3 linked regions of the Xenopus tropicalis genome follow. The protein of the gene in region 1 purifies or fractionates together with the protein of each later gene. This does not show direct contact. Links are inferred from orthologs where the notes say so. Each region holds a gene or a part of one and is shown on either strand. Other genes may lie near its edges.

Region 1 (3,500 bases):
GTATGGCATAAAGGCAAGAGTTCACAGGGCAGTTTTAAACATTTGGCCCTGCAGCACTCAGTGGCCTAGTGGAGAGAGCACAAAATGATCCAACACTCCCCTCATTAAAGGAAAAGTAACACTAAAAAATTTTTAACTAAAAAATCTATTCTACCCTCCCCCAATAATTGCCCTATCCTGAAAACCATTTGTGATTTTGAATGCTTTAGAAGAAAATACCTGTTAAACTCTGCTTCCTGTCATTTGAACAAAGGCGATACGGCAATGCCGGGGAAAGTATCAGGAGATGCATGAACTATGCAGTGATCGACTGATCGAGCCTAGCCTGACTCCTTCCTATACAGAAGTCAGGCTAGGATCGATCAATCGATCACCGCATAGTTCATGCATCTCCTGATACTTTCCCCGGCATCGCCGTATCGCCTTTGTTCAAATGACAGGAAGCCAAGTTTTTTTTACAGGTATTTTCTACTAAAGCATTCAAAATCACAAATGGTTTTCAGGATAGGGCAATTATTGGGGGAGGGTAGAATAGATTTTTTTAGTTAAAAAATTTTAGTGTTACTTTTCCTTTAAGTTATGGCAAATCCCTGCCAGTGTGGGTACACTCGTTTGTTAGACCATTGCTGTTTGAAAATGCTGAGCACTAAATGTCCAAGAGTCAATTTTAAATGCCACAGCACCAACAAAAAGTGTGTGGATTCATTACCACCCAGTACCCAGACACACAGGCCAGCAGCAGACGTGATAGCTACGCGCACCCATCCCAAAGTAGTAATAGCCATTGTGCATCCCTAGGAAACAATTATGTCAAGTAAAAGAAAAACTGACTCCAGGTGCAGGATGTTCAAAGAACAGTGGACCTACGATTACTTTTTCATGCAGTGCAAGGAGAGAGCGGTTTGTCTGGTATGCCAGGATTCAGTGGCTGTGTTCAAAGAATGAATTTGCGTTGACACTACGAAACTCGACATATAGGATATCTATGAAAGGTTCACCAAACTGTGAATGATTTGGAGCTGGACTGGGCTAAACTAGCCAGTGAGACAACTGATGGTGTTCCTAGCATGGTGGGGTCTATGACCAAGAGATGGACAAACACAACCATTCGCGTCCAATAGTGATATCCTGCCTCATCCATCAACAAGCGCTGTGATTTACTGTGATCACTGAAGTGCAACTCATAAAGTTGTGGTGTACTGTGTTAATTTCATTAGGGCTCGTGCCGTAAACCACAAACAGCTTCAGGAATTTCTCTCTGAGCTGAATGTTGCCTATGAAGATATTATGTACCGCGCAGAAATGTGCATCGAGGGAGAGTTTTGAAATGTTTTTATGCCTTACTTCCACGGGTTTCTGCTTTTCTGTACCAGATGCAGAATGGAAGTGGCACCTTGCCTTTCTGACAGATGTAACAGCGCTACTCAACAGTTTCAATGTGCAACTTCAAGGAAAGGGGAAGCTCATCTGTGATATACATTCACATGTGAAAACATCTGAAGTAAAATTGGACCTCCTTATTAAAACAAGTAAAGGAGGAAAACTTCTGCCATCACCCCACTACGCAAAAGCTGAGAAACCATAAGAAACCATACCCAAACAAAAAATGTGTGGATTCACTGGAAAATGTTGCAAAGGGAGTTTTAACATACAGCTTTTACAGAACCCATTTTCAATTGACATTGAAATTGTTAATCCGATTTACCAAATGAAACTGGCCGAACTACAGAATTGTGACTCTCTGAAAGACGTATTGAAATCAAGCAGCCTTACAATTTCTATGCATTTCTCCCCTCTGAGACATATCTTAATCTCAGGAATCATTCACTCATAATGACAACCATCTTTGGCAGCATCTATGTCTGTGAACAGACTTTTTCCAGAATGAAACATCTGAAATCGCCAACCAGATCCAGACTAACGGATGAACACTTGCATCACTTGTTATGACTGGCAGTGAGAAACATGGAACCGGACTATCTCATCAGCCAAAACCAGGTCCATGCTTCCCATTGAAGTCTATGTTTGTTAAAATTGTTTTTCATTTTAAATATTGTATTGCCCTTTCATGTTTTTTTGCACTACAAATAAGATATGTGCAGTGTGCATGGCAATTCGTTTGTGGTTTTTTAAAAAAAAAATTCAAACTATAGTCCAGCAACCCAACAGTCTAAGGGAAAATGAACTGGCCCCCTGTTTAAAAAGCTTGAAGATCCCTGCATTAGTATATTAAAGGAATACTATCACGGGGAAACATATTTGTTACAAAACCCATCAGTTAAAGGAGATTCTCCAGCAAAATCCTGCATTGAATCCATTTTTCAAAAACACAAACAGATCTAACATGGATTCTAATTTTGAAATTTCACATGGGGCTAGCCATATTCTTCATTTCCCAGGGTGCCATGTGACCTGTGCTCTTATAACCTTCAGTCACACTTCACTGTGGCGCTGCAAGTTGGAGTGATATCTCCCCCCTCCCAGCAGCCAATCAAGAGAACAATGGGAAGGGAGCAAGATAGCAGCTCCCAGTAGGTATCAGAATAGCACTCAATAGTAAGAAATCCAAGTCTGGCTTGGGACTCCTCCAGTTACATGGCAGTAGGAGAAACAACAAGTTACCTGAAAGCAGTTCAAATGTGTAGCGCTTCTGAAAGCTCAGACTTAGGGACACTTTATTGCTGCGCTGCAAGTTGAAGTGATATCCCACCCCCAGCAGCCGATCAGCAGCCGATCGGAAGGGAGCAAGATAGCAGCTCCCAGTACGTATCTGAATTATTTGCTATGTAAACAGTGTCATTTAGAAATAAAAAGTACACCATAAAAATCATGACAGAATCCCTTTAAAAATAGTCGAAGGTGATTATCTAACCCAATGTACTGTTTACATTCTGGCATGAAAAGAACACGCTTGTAGAACCAATGCCAAATGTTTTATGTTGTTTTATGTTACAAATGCAAAATAAACACCTTTGAAAAAAAAAAAAAAAAAAAAAAAATAGTTGAAGGTACCATGAACTGACGAGTCGGAGTCAAAAGTATTTATGTACCGACTGCACAGAATAAACACCTATAGCTTTTCCATATTGACACAAACACTTCAACTGCCTTCAAAATGTTATTTTAAAACTTACTGTATGAATTTGCGGGCAAAAGACTTCAGTTTCCCAGTGGCTGCCGCTGCGGCCAATAGCAAGTCCAGGCTCTTGCCAGACAGCATATGACCCAAGACTCCCAGAAGACCCTCTGGAGACTTTGAATGGTCAGCATCCATTGTCTGTGAAATATAAGATCATCACAACAGAGTAGGAGGATTAATATGTAATAAAGGCATAGCAGCTATCACTTATAATAAGGAAACCTGACCTGGATTACATATAAAATAAAAGTGATAAAGACTGAATCTGTGGTTACCCTCAGATAAGAAAATGAGCAGCTGGGCATCATATATGCATTTGCTGGCCGCAAATACTGCACGACCCCCATATGGCAAACTGCTA
Region 2 (3,727 bases), about 43 Mb from region 1:
GGGGGCCGAATACTTTTGCAAGCCACTGTATGCATTGCCTTCACTCTCTGGAGCAGCCCAAAGTCGCCTCTCTGGGTTTCTTCGCAACATGTAGGTCTCCCTTTAAACATCTCCAATTTATACAGCATCACACTGAAAAAAACACAAAAAAAAACCCCCAAAAAAACCCCACACACAGATTGTTTTATGAAAAATAAATTTATTACTTAACACCTTGCGTTAACAATGTTGAATTCTTTTTTTTTTTTTTAATCAGAATACTTGTCATTAATGTAAAATAGTCTGATACAGTACATTGTATGTTACAGTTTTGTATCCTTGTAAATTCTAAGGCCTTTCTACCTTTTATTCTCCAACAGAGACGACCCTATGGATGAGGGGCGGGGCCACAAAATGAAAAAGAGGGAGTTGAATTGAAATACACTACACCAAGCCAGCTTACAGGATCCGGACAGGCGCCTCGACCCTCGCGAGGCAATTATTTCATTACCAATTTTTTCTTTTTTTTCTGTTTTCACTATTTTTTTTTTGCTTTTTATTTAGTCAGAACTCCATAGCATGCTCACAATTCAGCAACACCAACAGGGGGGAAAAACAAAACAAACAAAAAAAAAGTTGATGATGATCGGTTGCCCTTGTTTGCCTCTGCAAACAGGTTGGTATATTTAATATCAGATAGCAGCTTTAATACTAGTCAAGTTAAAAAGTCCTTAAAAACCTATGCTGAAATAGAATCTTTGGGAGGCTCGTAAAGGGGAAATAAAGGCCAAACGTTGCTTTTTTTTCGTTGTTGCTTTTTGTTTAGGGGGAAGGTGTCGGAGGAACAAGATTTGCTGGTTATAAAACACTGATGGAGGTGATCATCTGGTATCACCTGAAAACTATACAGAAAGAAACGTGTAGCAAACAGAACAGCAGTACGATTTAGCGTGCTGGTTAATGTCCATACCAGAGAAGACCGTTTCTTATTGGTCAGATCATATTGTGAGAAGTCACCATGAAAAACAAAGTGTTTGTTCCTAACATACTTCACAGCTTCAACTGCTACCATCACTGAAGAGAATATGCATTGGTCAGTTTGAACCATATTCAAGTAAACTATGGAAGTAGCAAATCCACGACTGCGCCAACTGAGCTAGCACTCTTAACCTTCACATGGGGGGGGGGGGGGTCTACATTCTCTGAAATGTTGTGTAACTTGGCTGCTGGACATTTTGAAGGTGTGGTTGTACAGTACATTCCAAAGCCAGGCTTCAGGCAGACAGCTACATGCTCAGTCCTGCAGCCAAAGCAACAGTGCATTGACTTTGTGATGTTGTTTCCCTTGGGTACAGCTCAGTACCGGTGGGTCTGATGGGAGTACTGCGGAGGCTGCTGGGAGGTAGACGAATACCCCATGCTGCTCTGAGGTTGTGATGTGCTTGGTCCAGGGTTTTGATAAGCAGCATGTGGATTGGAACGCTTCAAGGAAAAGTAAGATCACAAGGGAAAAAAAAGCTGTTATTTAAAAAGAATGGGGGGGATTGGGGCTCTATAGAACTGATAAAACAGATGATAATACAGAGTACATGTCTATAAATAATAATTCCATTCCTATAATGGACATTTAAATGCTATGGGTATTGAAATGTCAATCACAGCAGAGACAGCAGGCACTGAAGCAGAAAAATAACAATACTGCATATGTATTATTGCATTTTGTTCAAGTGTTGGCCACTGACGGCTGTATTTAGTCCTGCCCTAGGCACCAACCTCAGCCTGCCATCTCTGCCCTTTCACTGCCCAGTGTCTCAGGCTGTGGAGATTGTTTACCCCATGTCTTCTGTTTACCATATAGGTGCCCAAGGGCCACTTATGGTAAATACGGCCCTGTCGGCATGGGACAAGTAACCATGAGTGCTTTAAATGCAGTGCACCCTGAAAGCATGTAAAAGGGCAAGTTCACCTTTAGGCTACCTTTTAGTATAGAAATATTATATTATATCTCTATTATATCTCTTTTTGTTTTGGCAACAGTTGCATTCTTCTTCTGCTTTTCTTTCAAATGGGGGTCATTGCCCCAATCAGCCAAAAACATATTGCTCTGTGAGGCTACAATGTTATTGTTACTTACTATTTTGACTTATCCTTCATCTATCTCAGTGCTGTCCAACTGGCGGCCCCCCTCTGTGTGGCCCCCCACCTGTCTGGCTGCTTTGATGGTTTACCCTTGTATAAGCATTAAATGGTATCAGTACTGAGATTAACTGCCCCCTGCATGGTTCTCACCTCAGATTCAGGCTGTAATCCCCCTGTATTGTTTAAATATGTAATCCCCTGTACTGTTCACACCTTTTAATCTATGCATTGTTTACCCCCTGCAGTGTTCACACCTCAGGCTCAGGCTGTAATCACCCACATTGTTCACCTCTTCACACCTCAGGCCTGTGTGTAGGCAGCATAGGGTAGGCAGAGTATGGCACATAGGCAGCATGGGGCAGGGAGGGTATGGCACAAACAGGCAGCATAGGACAGGGAGGGTATTGAACACACAGGCAGGGTAGGGCAGGCAGAGTATGGCACACTCAGGCAGGGTAGGGCAGGCAGACTATGGCACACACAGGCAGGGTAGGGCAGGCAGACTATGGCACACACAGGCAGGGTAGGGCAGAGTATGGCGCACACACAGGCAGCATATGGCAGGTAGAGTATGGCACACAGGCAGGGTAGGGCAGAGTATGGCACACACAGGCCATGGGTGGGTGTGGTTTAAAGGGGGGAGTGGCTTCCATTAGTGGCCCTCCGCCATGTATGCGCGAGAAATTCCGGCCCTCGGCACCGCAGAAGTTGGACAGCACTGATCTATCTTATTCAGGCGCTCCTTTATTAACCTTGCAGTCTCTGCTATAAACCACTGTTGCTAGGCTTAACTGGACCCTAGACATTCTAAACTGGAGATGTGCTGCACTAATGCTAAATAATTCAAAAACCATAAAGGGAAAAAAAAAAACAAACTGAAGATCCACAGCAAATTGATGAATAAAAGTTAAAGCTCAATGATCTGTCTCTACTCTCTGCATTCAGAAGCGGCCAAGTAAAGCAGAGAACTGTATTTCCATTCTATTTCCAGTTAGTGCACTCTTGCCCAAATGCAGGGTGAATACAATGAACTCCAAGGCTCAGGAGCTCAGTTACCCGCAATGACTCTCTGTAAATCAAAATAACAAAGTGCACTAAGAGGAAAAACAACTGCTTTACTCATATCAAAATTACCTAGGGTTCCTATTTTTGTACTGAAAATGTGGTTTCCATGTGCAAGTGTAGCTTATAGATTTATTCCTACCATAAAAGAGCCAGAAAAAATACTTCCTTTAAAGTGGATGTAGAACAAAGCATTTAGTGGCATATTTATTATAGTGTTTACGCCAACATGACAGGTGATGTTGCCCATACCAACCAATCAGATCTTTGCTTTTGTTTTGTAACTTGTAGGTGACTGGTCAAATCTAATTGCTGATTGGGTGCCTGGGGAACACCACCGCTGATGTTGGCTTACACACTATACAAAAAAAAAAAAGTCCCTAAGGGACTTATGTAATAAAAGGCCCAGGAGCAGTAACATATAGCAACCAATCTGCAGGCAGCTTTTACTGGTTACTTGTTTAAAAGCAAACATCTTATTGGTTGCCATGGGTTACTGCTCTTGGGCAAACTCTGTGCCTTTAATTACATATGGGGGTTAGTGTCG
Region 3 (3,500 bases), on another chromosome or scaffold:
ACCAAAAATGGAGACATTTTGCTTATTTATTCAGCACTAAATATTCCTGCATGAAGTATGCAAACCCTTCGTTCAGCAACCGGTGGCACCTTGTAGAGCAGCAGGAACTTCAAATAAACATTTCCTTCAGCGTTTCATCAGCGTCTTCCATAGGCCTGGGGGAATTTAGGCCCATTCTTCCCAAAAGAAACAGTTTCGGGTCAACTATGGTGGCTGGGTCGCCATGTACGCCAGTCTGGTCTATAATACTGTGTGGTTACCCTTGCATACAGCATTCCACTTACACTTCTCATTATGATCAGGGTGTTTTTATGACTTTGCATACAAATCCATGGGGAGAAACCCACTGACATGGCAACCAACAATGGGGTCATGGAGGAAATCAGGTAGCACTTATCCTTTCTCAAGCCTTCGGATGAATGTCTGATGAGTTCCCATTTATACTTATAGGCTTCAGTTTTTTATTGCGCATTTATTGAAGCACCACATGATTATCTAATCATACGCTGTATCCATGGCTTTAAAACAAGAGCTTCTCTTCCATTTTTGCACTGATTTCTTTATTAAGTTGCTAGTTTGTGCCTGAATATCAGGAGGAGCCCTAGTTGGCCCAATCCAGCACTGCTCTGAACATCTTAACGGAGACATATAGTATAACTGTAAACCCCTCCAAGCTTGTAGGCAATAATGAATTATAAGTGGTGCCAGTTTTACTAAATATTATCCTCTCTGGTCCCTGTGAGTGTTCCAAATAAGAGGTGGATGAGTCCTAATTGTCCATGCTAGAAGCACAGTAGGAGAGGGATAGCCAATCACAGCCCTCCAGTCACCCAGGGAAAGACGGGCTTCAGTTCTCTATCAGGTCAGCCTAGCTGCTGATTGGTTCCTATCCTACAGGGCAGTGTGCTGAGTGCCGCCGGCCCCCCTGCACAGCCTGGGAAAGGAAGTGGATGGAAGTGGGACAGATGGGCAGGGCTAGTAGGGTTTGGGGGGGTTATTTCAATAAATCAACCCAAAACGCTACTTTTCTCACCATGTTTAGAGGAATATAATGCCCAGGCACATTCTTAATTTCCACACAGTATGTCTCCTTCAATGTCCATGCTCACAGAGTTCTCACCCTCTGCCTTTTTTCCCCTCTTTCTCTCATTTTTCAATATCAGTCCTTATACATTCCTGTTTCACACTGGAATCTGTCTATTTTTTTATGTTGGCTTGCCTTTGTTTCCTTGAGTCTATTATGTTTTTCTCCTCATCCGTTTAATTCTGTTCACCTTCACCTCTTTTATTCTCACTGCTCTCCCTGTCTGTCTCTCTCCATCTCCCCAGTTGTCCTGGATGATACCAAGCGGGTAGCCAAGCGAAAACTGATTGAAGAGAATCGAGAGCGGCGGCGGAAGGAGGAGATGATCAAGACTCTGCAACAGCGTCCAGAGCCCAGCAAAGAGGAGTGGGAGTTGATTCGCATCGTAACAGAAGCTCACAGGAGCACCAACGCTCAGGGCAGCCACTGGAAACAGCGTAGGAAGTTTCTGGTGAGGCTGATGAAGAATTCAATGTAGTACAGTAGATATATGGCGGCCATCGTTCTGGGCCGCAGAGCCATGGGTGGAGTTTTAAGTTGGAGCAGCTTGGGAGCTATTCATAAATTAAAAATGAGACCATATGGAGTTGGTCATAATTACAGGAAACAGACGTGTCTAACAATGGAAAGTGTTTCAGTAAGAGCAGGCAAACTGCAGGGATATATATAATGTTAATGTTTGGGAGAGGTATAGGAGAGCTTATATAGAGCACCTAGACAGCTGTTTATTGATTCTGGTACCCTAATACCTTTGATTTCCCCTCCGTGCTCCCCTTGAACAGTCCAACGGGGAGCGGCGATGCACAGCTATGTAGTAAAGTAGCCTTTGCAGGATACAGCAGGGAATCCCTGGGATTTCCGTAAGGGAACTTCCTGTGCAGATGGAGAAGCTGTGACCCCTTGGAGAGAGCAAGCAGCATCTGTTGCCCTCCAGCTCGTGCCCCCTGCCCCAGCGCCGGGGTTTCCAAAGAGTTTGCCTAGACTTCAACATAGGTCAGCACGCAGATGGCAATGTAGAAAGCAAGTTTAGTGCATTGTCAAAGGCACCGTCTGGTCTGTGTGTGCAGAATAATGGTGCAGTCTTCCTTATTTTTTATTGTAGCCATATATTTCTGCCCCAAATTTGTATTCCCCTGTCCTTTAGTGCAGTTGGGGTAGATACACACTGCACCCTCTATGCTGCCCAGCAAGGGGGTACTTGTGCCTTTCACTCTCTCTGCAGCAGAGCAGTATGGCATCCATGCCTATAAGTGCTGCATTGAAATCTGTCATCAGTACCCTGTAATTAGTGTTGTGTTAATTAGTATATGTTCCTCTCTGCAGCAATGCAGCCTGCTATTAACCCCTGTATATATGCTACTGGTGTCATTATCTGTGTGTAATAGGGAATTGTACCAGTGTGCTGCAGCACAGATCTGTGCCCTTTATGCTCTTTATTTGTGTAGCAAAGTCTTTGCTTCTTGCCAAATGCAACAGTGCCTCCTCTTATTTTTCTTTCTGTACAGCAGTGCATAATCATGCCTGCCCTGAGTGATTTCCTTCTATTCTGCTCCAATATATGTCTGATTCCTTTATAGTGTCTCTGTGTTCACTCATGCCTCAGTGTTCAGCAGTCAGTTTGGGTCCCCAGCTTCGGCACTTAGCCATACGGTTTTGGTATGGGTGCTTAGAAGTCTGTTGGCCTATGTGTTCTTCAGTACATTTTTGGTACCAATGCCTTTTGGGGTACCCATGCTTCAGTGCTCATCAGTAAATCAGTACACCCATGCCCTGGTGTTTAGTAGTCTGTTTTGGTACTTAGCGGTGTAGCACCCAAGCTTTAGTGTTTAGTAGTACATTTCTAATGCTCATTCCTTGGCACTTAGCATTCCATTAGGGTGGCCCTCCCTCAGTGCTTAGCAGTAGATTACTGGTACCTATTCCTCAGTTTATAGCAGCCTGCCCTGGTAGCCAAGCCTCAGTGCTTATTATTCCATTTTGATACTTAGCAGTCGGGTACCCATGCTTTAGTGCTTAGAAGTACATTTATAAAACCTATTCCTTGGCACTTAGCAGTCCGTTTTGTTACTCATCCCTCAGTTCTTAGCGGTTCCTATTCCTTGGTACATATTAGCACAATCTGGTACCCATCTCCCTCCCTGTGTATAGCCCTGCCTTCTATAACCTGCGCCTGTGTATAGCCCTGCCTTCTGTTACCTGTGCCTGTGTATAGCCCTGCCTTCTGTTACCTGCGCCTGTGTATAGCCCTGCCTTCTGTTACCTGTGCCTGTGTATAGCCCTGCTTTCTATAACCTGTGCCTGTGTATAGCCCTGCCTTCTATAACCTGTGCCTGTGTATAGCCCTGCCTTCTATAACCTGTGCCTGTGTATAGCCCTGCCTTCTGTTACCTGCGCCTGTGTATAGCCCTGCCTTCTG

Evidence for each region. The genes of interacting proteins can lie anywhere in the genome.
Region 2: the proteins of med24 (region 1) and cdk8 purify together in Homo sapiens (affinity purification with mass spectrometry; 13 studies listed by BioGRID and IntAct, counting the BioPlex papers as one, with this or other methods). This does not show direct contact. The link is inferred for Xenopus tropicalis from reciprocal best matches to the Homo sapiens genes MED24 and CDK8.
Region 3: the proteins of med24 (region 1) and thra purify together in Homo sapiens (affinity purification with western blotting; 3 studies listed by BioGRID, with this or other methods). This does not show direct contact. The link is inferred for Xenopus tropicalis from reciprocal best matches to the Homo sapiens genes MED24 and THRA.

Annotation. Positions count from the first base shown.
Region 1 is NC_030678.2:112,529,724-112,533,223, forward strand, and holds part of med24 (mediator of RNA polymerase II transcription subunit 24), read right to left. Parts: intron 3,278-3,500; coding exon 3,135-3,277; intron 1-3,134. UniProt on the Homo sapiens protein: Component of the Mediator complex, a coactivator involved in the regulated transcription of nearly all RNA polymerase II-dependent genes.
Region 2 is NC_030678.2:155,758,950-155,762,676, forward strand, and holds the end of cdk8 (cyclin-dependent kinase 8), read right to left. Parts: intron 1,462-3,727; coding exon 1,336-1,461; 3' UTR 501-1,335; downstream 1-500.
Region 3 is NC_030686.2:9,072,152-9,075,651, reverse strand, and holds part of thra (thyroid hormone receptor alpha), read left to right. Parts: intron 1-1,329; coding exon 1,330-1,535; intron 1,536-3,500.